Pelodiscus sinensis: one gene and its partner. The protein of the gene in region 1 interacts with the protein of each later gene in a pairwise test. Links are inferred from orthologs where the notes say so. Each region holds a gene or a part of one and is shown in the gene's direction. Other genes may lie near its edges.

Region 1 (7,878 bases):
GGAGGGGGAGGAAGGAAGGTAAGTGTCTGTGAATTGATGATATTAAAGGTAGGGAGAGTGGGATGTTTGTGAGTTAATGGTATTACAGGTGATAATTGGGGAAACTGTCTTGGTAATGGGTGAGATAGTTCAAATTCTTGTTAAGTCCTTGTTGGCAAGTGTCGAATTTTAACATGAATGACAGTTCAGAGGATTCCCTTTCAAGTGCAGATGTAAAAGGTCTTTGTAGCAGAATGCAGGTGGCTAAGTCATTTAGAGAGTGTCCTTTCTGGTTAAAGTGGCAAGAAACTTTCTTGCCACTTTAACCAGAAAGGACACTCTCTAAATGACTTAGCCACCTGCATTCTGCTACAAAGACCTTTTACATCTGCACTTGAAAGGGAATCCTCTGAACTGTCATTCATGTTAAAATTCGACACTTGCCAACAAGGACTTAACAAGAATTTGAACTATCTCACCCATTACCAAGACAGTTTCCCCAATTATCACCTGTAATACCATTAACTCACAAACATCCCACTCTCCCTACCTTTAATATCATCAATTCACAGACACTTACCTTCCTTCCTCCCCCTCCCCCCCCCCCCCGCATCCCCCTTCTGTTCTGCAATGTGATTTGTCCTTTTCATATTTGTTCACTTTTTTTAATTGTATCCTTTGGTATATATGGTTGTGACTATTTTCTTCCACTATTTGATCTGAGGAAGTGGGTCTGGCCCACGAAAGCTCATCATCTAATAAACCATCTTGTTAGTCTTTAAAGTGCTACATTGTCCTGCATTTTGCTTCAACTACCCCAGACTAACACGGCTACATTTCTATCACTATCTGTCACACTCTTCCCCTTAGCTTGCAAGCAGAACCAGGAAACCCCCTGAAATGGCAAGTGAGAGCTTACACTTATAAACTGTTTCAAAACACCCCAAGCCCAAGGAAGTGGTGAATAGGCCCATGCTGGCCACCATAAAAGCCTGAAAGCTGAGGCATGCCAGCTGGGCACCCACCTCCTTTTCCAAGGCTTCTTTGGAAATCTGAGTCTAAACTCTCCTTTTCTCCTGCCAGAGCTGGGTGAAAGGTCCTTTGTAAAGGGAAAAGTAAACCAGGTCCACACCCATATTTTTGTCTGCCTTGTTTGGTTTAAAGAATTGAAAGGCTTTTGAAACCGGCTCTGCTTGGTTTTATACGTTTAGAAAAGTCTCCTTTTTTGCGGAAAGGGTTCCGAGAACCAAGTGAGGGGCAGGAGATGGGAGGATCTTTAACAAAGAGAACATTCTTCCCAACTGCTTACCTAGCGTTTGAGTGAAATCAAATTTAAGCTCAAATGCTCACCTAAGACTGGAAAGGATCTTTTCATTTTTTGCTTTCTTTGCCAGGTTGCTGTTTAAACACATTTATAAATGAGGCTTTGCCTCGACTTGCTTTTTTTTCCAGTCAAATATGTAACCGAAGCTCCTGTATTTACCTAATAGTTCCTGGCAGCATCTATTTGTAATGAGGAAAATAAATGTTTGATTTTTGCGGCTTGAACAGCAAAACACAATAGCTGAGGTGCCAAGTAGGGTTCGTTCTCCCCTATCTTTGCCAGCTATGCAGTTTGATTGCTTAGTTTTGAAAGGGCAGTGGAGGAGAGAACAGAAAAATCTTTGCAGGCCTGTTCCTGAATTAGTGGAGAATTGGCAAGATTATGCCATGCAAAATAATGAAACTGGATTAAGATGGGAAGTGGCTTTGAACCAGACTCAGTCAAACTTTTTGTTGTTGTCAACACCAATTTAACTCAAACACCTATGGGGAGAAAAACTTTCTTTGTTAAAGATACAACAGTCCCTATGCTTAAAGGCTGAAAGACACTCACAATCTACATTGCTGGACTCTGCAAAAAGCCTTAGGGTTGTTCTTTTTAAAAAAAATCCCTACTTTGATGAATCCGTTCAACTATGCGAACACGAAGGCTGCAGGCTCAGCAAAGCAGAAAGACCAGTCTTCCCAGAATTCCTCAGTGAGTGTCCGTTCATTCCACTCTGGAAGCATGACATCATCAGAGCATGCTCCCATTGGCCGAGCAATACCGCCGAGGGCAGATGCAAACCCAGCTGACAGACGCACAGGGCCAATCATCAGATCCCACCTGGGTTGGAAAAGCCTCCCTTGAATGAAAACTGAAGAGGGTATGTGCACGAGCGTGCATAAGTGTGCGCATGGGTGTGTGCTTAGAGATTGTACAGCCTGAGGGCCCTATTAGCTCACTGGGTCTGCCCTGTATAAGAGAGGCTGCAGAATTTCTCCCTAATACCTGATTGGAGTTTTGTTTTAAAGGGCTGCGGGGGGATATGAACTGTGGACTAATCGTGATGAATCCAGGGAAGATTCAGCCCTGAATTCTGAACCCCCTTTGCTGAATAATGGAAACCCCACGTGTCATAGGCCCTGACTCGATGGTTGCTCCGGGGCTGGAGTGCCCATGGGGAAAAAATGGGGGTGTGAAGCATCCACCGACCCCAAGCTCCCCGATCTGTCTCCCTCCCCCACCCCGCACCTTTCCTGTGCCAGTGGCCCAGCTGACCAACTCCTCCCCCTCCCTTCCAGCTCTTTTGGAATGCTGAGGACAGCTGATTCCTGGTGTTCAGGAAGCGCTGGGAGGGAGTGGGAGGAAGATGGGGCAGGCTTGGAGAGGAGGCAGAGTGGAGGCGGGGGCTTGGAGGAAGGGGTGGAGTGGAGGTGGAGTTGGGGCGGGGCTTAGGGGAAGGGGTGGACTGAGGGCATAGAATCATAGAATACTAGGACTGGAAGGGACCTCGAGAGGGCATGGCCGGGGCAAAGCAACGGTGGAGCATCCCCCAGCTGGAGAGGAAGTCGGTGCCTATGGCTTGTGTTATATTTATTTATAATACAGGTTGAACCTCTTTGGTCCGGCAACCTCCGTGGTCTGGCATGATTTTAGCTAGCCAGATGTCTACTGATCATGGGTGTGGCCAAGTTTCCCACGGTCCCATAAAGTTTACAGCCACCCGTCCTGGCTGTCAGTGTTCTGTGCTGCAATTTAGCTCTCCCTGAATGTCTTCTCAAAGCCCCGCCAGCAGCGGCAGTGTTGCTAATGCTGCTAGACAGTGTTGACCTCCTGTAGTCTGGCAAATTCTCAGGTTTGGCACCAGCCCGGTCCCAAGGGTGCCGGACTAGAGAGGTTCAGCCTGTAGCAGGGCAATTTAAGGCCCAAACTGAGATCAGTGCGTCAACTGGGCGGGATGTTGCACAGACACACACAGGGAGACTCTGCCCCAAAGAGCTGCCAGTCTGGCCAAAGACAGGCTTACAACTGGTTGTCGTTTTACAGACAGGGAAAGGGAGGTTTGGCGCGATGGTGCGGCATGTCGATGGTCACCCTGGGAGCGGGTGGCAGAGCTAGAAGCTGCTCGCAAAGGTTCTAGTCCTGACTCAGCCCCAAGGCCATTCTGCCGGTTAATTAGAGGAGGGCAAAGGCCTAACAGCTTTTGGGGTCCATTGGGTGGCTGATGTGGAGGGAAGAGGAAGCTAGTGTGGCGGGGGCGGGGGCTTAGATCCGGGGAAGTTGGTGGGGGCCATGTTGCTGCAGTAACCCAGGCACTGAATGTGGCTCTGGGCAGGAGCTGTTGTGGGTTTTGTAGTGAATCAGGCACCTCTGAGTCAGTGGAAAAGCTGAGCCGGGCGTGGAGGCCGGAGGGGAGTTTGCTGGTGTTGGTAATGGCCCTTGTCGTGTACCCTGGAGGCCGGCCCACCTGTCCGTGCTGCCAAGTGCACGCTCCAGACAGTTAGGAGGGATTTTCATTTGAGCAGCTCAAATGAAGCTTCCTGCTGGGGCCTCGTATTCCTCCATCCTGGGGTTCCTGCCTCACGAAAGCCCTGCCACCGAGAGAGGCTGGAGATCGCAAAGCTCCTTCATGATTAAGACCCCATCTTTTTGCTCTCTCTGTGTGCAGCACCTAGTGCATCTAGGAACCACTGTGATGCAGAGGAGGCCTTTGACTTTGGATCCCTCGGGGCTCCTTCCTTAATTGGCGGGGGGGTGGGAGGTGAATCGTGATTAATGCCTAGCACCCATTATCCGTTTGCCCTCCCCCCTAAAGGGCTGAGTGAGCTGCTGTTTCAGAGTGCTCGGCTTTAGCCAGTCAAGCCTCTTGCAGGGAATAGAGGGGGGCACTGTTCTGCATTGGAAGGGGGAAACTGAGGCATGGAGACTGGCCTGAGGTCACCAAATGAGGCAGCAGCAGAGCCTGGAATAGGACACAGCAGGGTCCCTCTGTCGCCGATAACTATCCCCCTCCACCCCCGCAGAGGAGGGGGCTCTTTTTGTCAGATCCCCATGGCAGCTTGTTTGGTCATGCTGTGCCTGGGAACAGTCTAATGCCAGGACAGGGTAATCCTGCTCCATTGTTACCTACCCCTGCAGACCCCAGGTTTGGCCTGAAATGGGTTGGGATCCAGGGATTCTGTCTGAAGCCGTCCATTACGATGGAGCCCTGGGCCTGCCCCTGCCTTCCTCAGCCCAGATATAGCAGCAGGCAAACCGGGGGTAATAGGAAGCATCCTCACTCCTCATCCCCCAGCCCAAACCAGGGATGCCCAGAGGATTCAGGAGGTCTGGGGGAAAGCAATTTCGGGGGGGGGGGGCTTCCTGGCACTCCCTGTCTCAGACTTCAGACATTCTCATGGGGGCCCCTGCAGGGCCTGGGGCAAATTGCCCCACTTGTCCCCCTCCCCCGGGCAGCCCTGAGCCAAACACACACACTTCTGCCACTTTAGGGCTTTGTCCACAGGGCGGAGAAATGGGCACTAGGACCCAGCAAATTCTCACCAGGTGGAGTCAGGTGTTTATGCAGATAAACCAGTTTAGGATGAGCAGTCTGGGTGGTAACTGGTGTTGTCCTGTGATCTGATCTGCAGGAAGGGAGGAACAGCCAGGAAAATCCACTGAGGATCTGTCTTCCAAAGAAGTGGGGGAAAACCCAGTGAACTTCTGCGTTTTGGGGAAGGCTGGAACAATGGGCTCCTACGTGGACTATGGTGAGAAACTCCAGCCTCAAAGGTGAGCTTTGATGCCAGTCAGGGCGGATTCTGATCTCGGTTAATCCAGACCAGTGGTTCTCCACCAGGGGTACATGAACCACGAGGGGTAGGCAGAAGTCTGCCAGGGGGTACATCAACTCATCCAGGTATTTGCCTAGTTTTACAACAAGCTACATAAAAAGCCCTGGTAAAGTTAGTAACAACTAAAATTTCATACCACCAATGAGTTGTTTATACTGCTCTCTGTGCAATACCCTGAGATGGAAGCCCGGTATTTATATTGCGTTTGATATATGTTATAATTACAGGTTAACCATGCAAAAATCAGCAATTTTTGAGTAATAGTGTGGTGTGACTTTTGTGTGCATGTGTGTCTGGTTGTGTTGTGAGTAATTTTTCAGTGAGGTAAAACTTAGGGGCATGCAAGGGATCCAGTAGTCTGGAAAGATTGAGAGCCACTGATCTGAAGCGACTCCACTCCAGTGTAAATGGGGTCAGCAGTATCCTATGCTGTTCGAATCTAGCTTGGGAAATTCAGGTTCCCCGGCCGCTGGCCAGGCCAATGAGATGGGCAGCTTCAGGATTCTCTCTAGTCTAGTCTGTGTGTCTCTGGTAGTGCCTATCTGTGCTCAGTGGAACCTGCAAACATCTTTTGCGGGTGTTAAGAGAGGCACCCGGAAAGTCAGGGTGTTACCCTGGGTGTTTTGTGGCTTGACTGACTGTCTCATACTGTGCCTGGCCTTTCAGGCAGGCTGACAAATCCATCTCAGAAAGTGATAGTTTCTGAACGTGGGGCCCAATCCTGTATGATTTTATGAGAAGCAATTCCATTCCATGCACATCCCATTTTCCTGGCACAGCCAAAACTTTACCTGGCTTTAAGTTATGATACAAGGAAGCTGAATACTGAATTTAGTGGTCCTAGCTCTTAGGAGGAGTTCTTGAACAACATACAGACAGACAGACTCTCTCAAATATACAGTAGGGCTGTGTCTAGACTGGCAAGTTTTTCCGCAAAATGAGATGATTTTGCGGAAAAACTTGCCAGCTGTCTACACTGGCCGCTTGAATTTCTGCAAAACACTGACGATCTCATGTAAGATCGTCAGTGTTCTTGCGGAAATACTATGCTGCTCCCGTTCGGGCAAAAGTCTTTTTCCGAAAGACTTTTACGCAAAAGGGCCAGTGTAGACAGCACAATAGTGTTTTCCGCAAAAAAGTCCCGATCGCGAAAATGGCGTTTGGGGCTTTTTTGCGGAAAACCGCGTCTAGATTGGCCACGGACGCTTTTCCACAAAAAGTGCTTTTGCGGAAAAGCATCCTGCCAATCTAGACGTGCTTTTCCGAAAATGCTTTTAACAGAAAACTTTTCCGTTAAAAGCATTTTCGGAAAATCATGCCAGTGTAGACGTAGCCTAGATGTTTTAAATGTAAAATGTTAAACAAAATTAAAACAAAATGTTCCACTTCAAGATGAATGAAACGATTCCTATGATTTGAAACTTTAAACAAAATTTTTTTATTTTCCAAAAAATTTGAGTTTGGATTGAATAAAAAAAATTCCTGCTTTTTTGCACTTGCCAGGGACCTGAAAAATCAGTGATTCCCACAGCTCAATTTAAGATGCTCAGAAGGGGCGTGGGCAAAATCCAGCTCTTGCTGAAATCACAGGCAACATTCCAGTGACTTCAAGGGGCTCCAGGACTTTTTACCTGTGGTGTTCAGATCAAATAGGGGTGCAAGCAATTTCTGGAAATCATGCCCTCCCTTGGGCTGCCTTGTCAAGTTAGACTGGGCACTCCTCACGGTCTCTCTCGTTATTTTGGGGAAGGTCTCTGGTCTGTACTATGCAGGGCATTACATTGGATGATCACAGTGGGGTCCCTTCTGGGCTTAGAATCGATGGATTTGGGTTAGCAGGGTATTCGGGAGTTGAAGCAGGCTCAGCTACTGCTCCCAGGGTGGTGAAAAGACTTGAGAGCCCATGTTAACCTTCAGAAGGGAAGTAGGGCAGAATCACTGGAGAATTATACCGAGACTTGCCCCAGCCACTGCGTGACTTGTTTGTTTTCTTTGAAGGAGGGTGGAGCAGAAAGCCCTTGCGGTGGAACAAAGGAGGGCGGATGTCTCCTTGTCTCTGCACCTCTTTCCTCTGAGAGCAGGGCAAAGAGAGAGGAAGTGGTGGGACTGGAAGCTCTGCCCACAACCCTGTGCTCCTCCCTCATCCCCTCCCTCGCCTTAAAATGAGAAGGAACGAAATAGCAAAAGTTAGTGACCAGCAGTAGGGTTCAGAGTCAACGTGCCGCCTGCCAGTAAAGTGCTTCCCCGAGGATTCTGTAACTTGTCCTGTTGCAACGGCAGGTGCAGCGTTGCCAAGTGGGAGGCGATTCTGTGGGAGCTGGGTTTTAAGCCAGAGTGCTGGACGTTGCACCTGACGGGGGATTTTGTAGCCCATACACCTCCATCAAGTCCACACTGATTCACAAGGGCAGAGTGCATCCTGCAAATTTGCAGACACTGCTTCCGGTAGCAGCCTGGCTTTTCTTTCGAGGTTTCCCATCCAAGTATTGAGCATCGAGGCAGTGTGGCCTAGTGGACAGAGCACACACTGGGAATCTGCGCTTCATTTGCATTTTCTATTTCCCTCATTTGCATTCCTCTTTCGAAAGAGGAATGTAGTCTAGATGCACCCACTGGGACTTGGGGAGCCAGCATTCTCTTCCTAGCTCTGCCACTGGCCCGCTATATAACCTTGGGCAAGTTGCTTTGCCTCACCGTGCTCAGTTTCCCCTCCTGTAAAATGGGGATGGTAATACTATTGACTTATTTTAAGACCTA
Region 2 (7,510 bases), on another chromosome or scaffold:
TGTGGAGCGTGTTCCCAGTGGAGGCCACATTCAAAGGATCCCACCCATGGGCTGCATGTTGAGCCCTGCATAAACCCAAACTGCACCGTGGGCCACAAACAAATGGGCTGTGGGCCACATGTAGCCCATGGGCCATGTGGTGAGTAGCCCTGATCTACATGATGGAAGCTGGCTTCAGGTACTGGTCTCTGTTAACGCAGGCTATAAATCAATCTGTTTCCCAGTAGCCTTTTCACTAGGGATGTTAAATTTCGATTAATCAGCTAATCGAGCAGTCGATAGAATTTCCATCGACTACTCAATTCGTCGATAAAGGGAGTGCTCGCTATCCTGCTGCGCCTCTGCCTTTGAAATGTACGAGAGCCGCGGGCAGCTGTTGTATATTTCAAAGGCAGAGGTGCAGTGGGGAACCTGCGCAAGTGGGGACGGAAGCAGTCCCTGATCGTGTGAGGTCCCGACTGCTGTGCCTCTCCATGTACAACAGCTGCCCATGGCTCTTGTACATGTCAAAGGGAGAGGTGCAGCAATTGGGATGCCGCCAGAGCAGGGACTGCTTCCATCCATTTCCCCCGTTGTGCCTCTGCCTCACTTGCCCCTTTGCCGCACGGTGCTGGGAGCCACCAGCTTTTAAGCTAGATCCTCCCTGCACCTGCTCCTACTCCCCCGCCCTTGGTGCCTCTGATACAGAGGCAGCAAGAGGGCAGGGGGAAGCAACTAGTTAAGTAGTGACTCGACTACTCGATAATCCTAGGCTTATTGGGTAGTTGACTAGAAGCTTACCTCCCTACTTTTTACCAACCTGATATGATGTATGTGCTATGTTCAAATGCATCATAAGACATACAATGAGTAACACACAACTTCTGAATCAGCACAGGCTCCATGGGAGGAAATCCTGTTGCTCACAGGAGCTAATAGACCTGAAAGTGCTCCTACAGCAATAATGTTTTCAGTGCTTTGGAATAAGTTCCAGTTTATCACACTCTGTGGGAACCTATTACAGATACTGTGGATACAGTCAGCCTGTGTAATGCTGGTGAAAGTGACTTCCTGCTTCCAAAACAACCTCTACTACCCAGCAAGTAAAATAATCTGTTTCACAAACTTAACCAGCAGAAAGTCTCAGAGGGGTCGCTGTGTTAATCTGTAACTTTTAAAAAGCAATGAGTAGTCCTGTAGCATCTTAGGGCTCATCTAGACTACGCTAGAGTGTCAAAAGAGGATATGCAAATTCCATGAGAATTTGCATATCTTCTTCTGATCTCACTTTCAAAAGCTCCGCTTTCAAAAGTGAAAGACATGGCTTTTTCGGCGAAACACTCCTTTGTCGAAAAAACATGTAAACTTCATTTTTTGAGGAAGAGCAGCTTTTCAACAAGGGGGAAGAGGTGTCACCGAAAAAGACACATCTCAACTACTTTCACTTTTGAAAGCTCTGCTTTCGAAAGAGAGATCGGAAGAAGATATACAAATTCCCGCAGAATTTGCATATCCTCTTTCGACACTCTAGTGTAGTCTAGATGAGCCCTTAGAGACTAACAAATATATATATATTGTATCATGAGCTTTCATGGGCAAAATCCACTTCTTCAGATGAGCAGAGTGGAGAAAAAAGGGGGCACTTCACAATATATAACAGAAAAAGAAGGGAGAGCGAGAGAAAAGAAAAGAAAAAAAATCCGTCAATTGTAGTGATGGTGCTAATGAGGCTATTTGAGTGGGCTGGAAGTGTCCCTTACTTAGCTTTTCATGTCAATTGTGTATTGAATATAATGGCGTGTCCAGTTCATGTCTTTGTTCAGGTCATGAGAGATAGTGTCAAATTTGCATATGAAGGCAAGTTCCGCAGAAAGCAGGTAAACATTCGAGCAAGTCTGGTATATATTCTCTCCATTAGAGGGCAGCATTACACCTACTGTAAACTGGGGCAGAGATGTGAATGGTTAAACGGGTTTACCAGTTATGGTTAACCGGTTTACCAGTTATGGTTAACCGATGGCCTGGCCAGGATGGAGTGGCTCCCCCGCCCCCATTTAATTAGTCAACCAGTAAAATATAACATTTAACCAGTTAATGGAGATTTTACATCCCTAACCTGGAGCCTATTCATTACACACAATGAATTATAGTATACACAATGAACTGTATTATATTACTATTGTTATTACAATTGCAGTAGCACTCAAAATGTGCTAGATGCTCTCTAAATATAGATGAAGACCTAGTCTTTGCTGGGCAAGTGTTTAAAACCAAGAAGGGGTGAGTAGGGGGTTGTACTGGTGACATGAAACTGATTTTGAAAAAATTAATTACAAGGAGCCCAAAGTACACAACAGCTGAATGTTACTAAATCTGCCAAGAGGTTTCCTCTTGTAAAGAGCTAATCAATGGGAATATTTTAAGGTATTACTGAGCCCCGAGAATGCATTGGTTTGCAGAGGCAAAGCAGTTTGGACAGGGCCATCCAAACTTTGCTCATCAATAACTTGGTAGGAGCCTGAAGAGCTATAAAATGGAATAGACTCTATATGCCTCAACATTAATTAGAGTTATTAGTTATTAAGATATGGCCTATGGAGGAGACAAGAATCTACATGATGTGTTTCACTTTCATCAGCGGAGGTTGCTCAGATCAAGATGGTGCATGGGACAACAACTCTGCAGACACTTCAGTGACTCTTTGTTTGAAAAGCATAATCAATGATTCTGGACTAAAGTAAGTAGTGTTTTGATTCTTTTCTACCTCTGCAGATTAAGCATAAAGAAGCCAGACACCAGAAGCAGGAAGAATCTATCCCAATGGATGTGTCTGCTTCATAACGATGTGAACAAGATGTTGGGCAAACCCAAGTATGACTGCTCTCAGATGGACAAACGCTGGCGAAAGGGCTGGAAGGGTGGTTCCTGTGTCTAGATTATAGAGATGCCATTGGAAATAAGACTGAAGCTATTATCATTAAAATAAAATTAAGAACTGAACCTGGTGCAATATAATTAAGAACACCACAAGTAAACACATGTGGATGTTTTTCCTCTCTCTCTGAAATGTTTTTATTCTCTCAAGAAGCTTACTATTTGTCTCTGCAACACAGAGATCCATGCTGCAACTGAATTCTCAAGGAAAAAAATCCAATTGTAAGTGATTATGAAGCTGCTAAGACTTAAGACCTTAGGCTGGTCATGGGAACAAGTTCATAAATCACAGCAGAAATGCTGACAAGTTTTGCCTTTTTGTTTCCTTTACTCAGGGATGCCTGTGTCTTAGACCAATTAATAGGGACTAGAATAATGAAGTCACCTTTAGCCCCAATTAAGTGTTTGAGAACATGTGGGATTATAACATTTTTGTTAAAAATAATTAAACATTAGGCTGTCCCTGCTAATGGCAAACATGTATTTAAGTGGTTATCCTGTGTTGTATTTGCCCAAAACAGCTTTGAAACTTCAGCCATTTTGGGACTTCTAGCTAACGGTTTCACAATCAGAATTTTGTAAATGAGAAAATGTTTTTTTTCCATGTATGCCAAACTCATAAATGGCCGCATAATTTTTTTCAAAGTCAGTTTTCCTGCTCAGGTTCTCACTACAGACAAATCTATGTAGGTCTTTGTGGATTATTTTATCCTATTAAAAATCAGTTCTGTGTATGGGCCAGATGCAAAGCCCAAAAGAAGACTATGAGAATCTTTCCACTGATTTCAACAGGCTTCCAATCACTTTCTATGGATTTAATACATTTAAATATTTCTAAAACACTTAAGTCAGTGGCGGGGGAAACCCACGCCGTGCAATAACTGTTTCCAAACTGAGCGCTCATATGGTTATGCTGAACAGCCTTTGGTGCATGTTAGTGAATGTATCTATTCTTTCCATTTTCCTGCCTGTTAAGTTAGGAGGGGTACCCATTGTGCATTTAGGCAAGCACTTAGGCTAGGGGTGGGTAAATACCAGTCTATGGGCCAGCTCCAGCTCCCTAGGATTAACCCCCGGTTGGCCGCCACAATATTCACCTGGGCTTCTGCACATACAGGTAGGTGTCTGCAGCTCCTGTTGGCCATGGAACACCAATCCCGGCCAACGGGAGCTGCGGGAATTGGCGTCCCAGTCCGGCATCTCTTGGCCAGGAACAGCGCCCTGGGGCCAAGGGGAGCTGCACTGGCCAGTACCTGGAGAGGTAAATACAGCGGCGGTGGCCCACCACGTTGTACTGCCCAGCCCTGACTTCAGCTCAGGGTCTGCTTGAAATGCAAGAGCCGCACTGGTGGCAATGGGCCAGGCCTGCACGCCAAGCACCGGGGGAGGCCAGGCTCCCAGGGCCTCTGCTGCTCGGATGCTGTCCAGAGCTGACACCGGGCTTTCCCCTCAGGAGGGGCCACGCTGGGGGGTTACCACAGAGAGGGGGGGCCCCCCAGGGACGAGACTCTCCTTGTCTTCCTGGCCCTCTCGGTCTCCTCGTCCGAGGCCCCGCCCGGCCCTTCCCGCCGCCTCAGCCCCGGGCTCGCCGAGCGGGGGAAAAAGGCCACCCGGCCCAACATGCTTTGCGGTTCCAAGATGGCGGCGCCCAGCGAGAGCCCGGCTGCCGGCCCCGGCGCGTTGCCTTTCCCGCCGGGCGCCGGGCCGGGGCCCCGCAAGAAGCCGTGCCGGGCCTGCACGGATTTCCGGAGCTGGATCCGGGAGCAGCGGAAGCAGACGGCCCCGCCGAGCGGGGTGAGGGGGGCCCCCTTCGGGAACGGCCCCGCCGCCTCGCCCCACAGGCTGTGCCTGGAGAGCCCCCACCCCTCACCGGCAGGGATTGGGGGGCTGGCCGCGCCTCCCCAGGCTGGTGGGGGGTATGAATGGGAACCTGTGCCTCCCCCCCCCCATGCCCTTTCCCAAGCCATGGCTGATGGGGGAGTATGAATGAGAGACACCCAACCACCCCCTCGTGAGCAATGGCTGATAGAGTCCAAATTAACCCAAATTAACCCCTTCCCCGGCTGATGCGGGAGTATCCCTGTCCTCCCCCTGCACTGCCCTTCACAGACCGTGGCTGATGGGGGAGTATGACTAGGAACTCCTGTCGTTCCCCCCTTCACAGGCCATGGTTAACAAGGTGGTAATTAGGCACCTTTTTAGAACTCCCCTTCACAGGCTATGGTTGATGAGGGAGTAAAAATGAGAGACACCCACCCATCACCTCATGAGCAATGGCTGATAATAGAAATGAACCCTTTTATGCTTCACTAGCTGTAGTTGATAGGCGAGTATGAAAGACACACACACTCCAGAACTCCCTTTCATAAGCCCCGTGGTTCACGGAGTACAAATGAGAGACCGCCTCAGAACTCCCTTTTATACTTCCCAGTCAACCACAGCCTGTGAATGAGACCTTCCACACCACACTGGTATTGGTTGATGAGGGAATATGAAATGAGGACCCAACCTCTCAGAAGGAATGGGGGGAGTACAAATGACCTTCTTCTCCCCCCCCCCCCCCCCCCCCCCCGCCCCGCGTGAGCAGTGGTTGATGGAAGAATGAGAGTCACATTTGTCCCAGATCTCCCCTTTGTAGGCTATGGGTGAAAGGGTAGGAATAAAACACATTCCTGGAACTCCCTCTTCACAGGCAATGGTTGATGGGCAGAAGGAGTATGAGACCTTAGGCAAATTAACCTCCCTGTGCCCCCTACCAAAGGTGAATCATATTTGTCCACCTCATTTAAGGAGGTTTTATTAGCTAATATCTGTATGGCCTCGGATTGAAGATGCTCCAAAACCACAGAGCATTTGGTATTAGTGTCATATGATACTCATTTTTGTAGTCTTAGTATAAATGTGTACACATAATCTTCCTGTTTTTCTGACCCAGGAAACAGATGTTGAAGAGGAGAAGGAGAAGCCTCCAGATTGTCCTCTGGACAGAGAAGAACTTGGAAGAAACACATGGTCTTTCCTTCATACTATGGCAGCATATTACCCAGATCATCCCAGCAATGCCCAACAACAAGAGATGTCACAGTTCATTAACTTATTTTCCAAGTTTTTCCCTTGTGAAGAATGCGCAGAAGATCTGAGGGAAAGGTGAGGCTTTTCAAAATATATCTGCAGATAAGAGAGAGTTGCCAGGTATCTAGTTTTAAGGGACCTTGAGGATCCGGCCAGCATTGCCAACTGGCCCATTAAAAGAGCTGAGTTAAGATCCCTACTGCTCTGGCTCCATGCTGTTCCTGTAAGTGGCCACCAAGTCCCTGAGGCTAGGCACTGAGGTGGCCAGGGGCTAGGAGGCTCCGTGCTTTGACCCTGCCCCAAGTGTCGGCTCCAGAGCTCCATTTGACTAGGAAGCGTGACCAATGTGAGCTGCCAAGGGCAGTGCACAGAGCTTCTCTGGCTCCAACCTAGCAGCCACTTCCTAAGAGCCATGTTAAGCATCGTCAAGACCCTACACCCCAAATCCCCTTCCTCATCCCAAGCTCTTCCTCCCCAGCCCCACCTACAGCTTGAGCGTGACCAGCCTCACCCTCTCTCAAACCCCTACCCCACCATGGAATCCTCTCCTGCACCCTGAATTCCTATTTTGGCCCCACCCAGAGCCTGCACCCCCAGCCAGAATCCTCACCCCCGGTGGACTCCAACTCTCTTCCCCGCTATATGTCGCTTCGTGTACATCCATTCCACACTAAAGTCGTTGATGCTTGTAGGAACTGATGCATTATAAGTCCTCCCATTTCCCACTCTTACGTTGCGTGCCAAAAAAACCCAAACAATTTGTGCAAATGGAAGTTAGCCATGGGGAAAAAAATTCCCAGCTTTAAGTTGTTTTGCTATAAGTCCCAAGTTTTTTGGAATGTATCTTGGACTTATAACGAGGACGGCCTGTATTGTGCAATTAGAAAGTTGGCAATCCTAGTAAGAGATCTACTTAAAGTGTTGGGCTCTAATAGCCTCGTTTTAGATCAACATTTGTTGGTATCTTTATAACTATTTTGTATTGTATTTTGTGTTACAAAGATGTTGTTTTATGATTGAATAAATCATAAACAAAGACCCAGGACATACACATTCAGAAGACAAACACCCAACTGCTTTCAGACAGCACAGTAGCTCCCAGAACTAAATGGAGTTTGGGTTGTTTGCTGGTTCAAATCTCGCTCAGATGAGTAGTGACAGTTTTACCATTGTACAGCTGTTTGGTGGCCTTTTGGGGGGCTTAGTGTCACTTTCATTAGACAGGTGTCTGCATCACAAAAACACCACAATAATTGGCTGTGGTGTGACATTCTGAACAGAGGCTCATGGGTCTCATGACTAGATGGACTGTGCGGTTTGGTAATCTCTCTCTCTATATATAAAAAAGTTTTTCCTGCCATGTGACGTAGAGAGCAGGGCGCAGCCCCCTGGTACTTTAAAGTCTTGTTCTTGTCAACAGTGAGATTCTAGGAAAAGTTTATCAGATTCCAAGAAGCAAACTTAAGAATCTCTGGTATCAAATCAGTGTCCTAACCTCGCAGGCAAAGAGAACTGCATGAAGAAA

The links. The genes of interacting proteins can lie anywhere in the genome.
Region 2: the proteins of BNIPL (region 1) and FAD-linked sulfhydryl oxidase ALR interact in a two-hybrid assay, tested with the Homo sapiens proteins (2 studies listed by BioGRID and IntAct). The link is inferred for Pelodiscus sinensis from reciprocal best matches to the Homo sapiens genes BNIPL and GFER.

What each region holds. Positions count from the first base shown.
Region 1 is NC_134734.1:18,844,058-18,851,935, forward strand, and holds the start of BNIPL (bcl-2/adenovirus E1B 19 kDa-interacting protein 2-like protein), read left to right. Parts: upstream 1-4,872; 5' UTR 4,873-5,015; coding exon 5,016-5,059; intron 5,060-7,878. UniProt on the Homo sapiens protein: May be a bridge molecule between BCL2 and ARHGAP1/CDC42 in promoting cell death.
Region 2 is NC_134726.1:37,661,231-37,668,740, forward strand, and holds the start of FAD-linked sulfhydryl oxidase ALR, read left to right. Parts: upstream 1-4,503; 5' UTR 4,504-4,533; coding exon 4,534-4,707; intron 4,708-5,552; exon of another isoform or gene 5,553-5,554; coding exon of another isoform or gene 5,555-5,674; intron 5,675-5,848; coding exon 5,849-6,060; intron 6,061-7,510. Other genes in the region: FAD-linked sulfhydryl oxidase ALR-like, read left to right, coding at 2,752-2,914.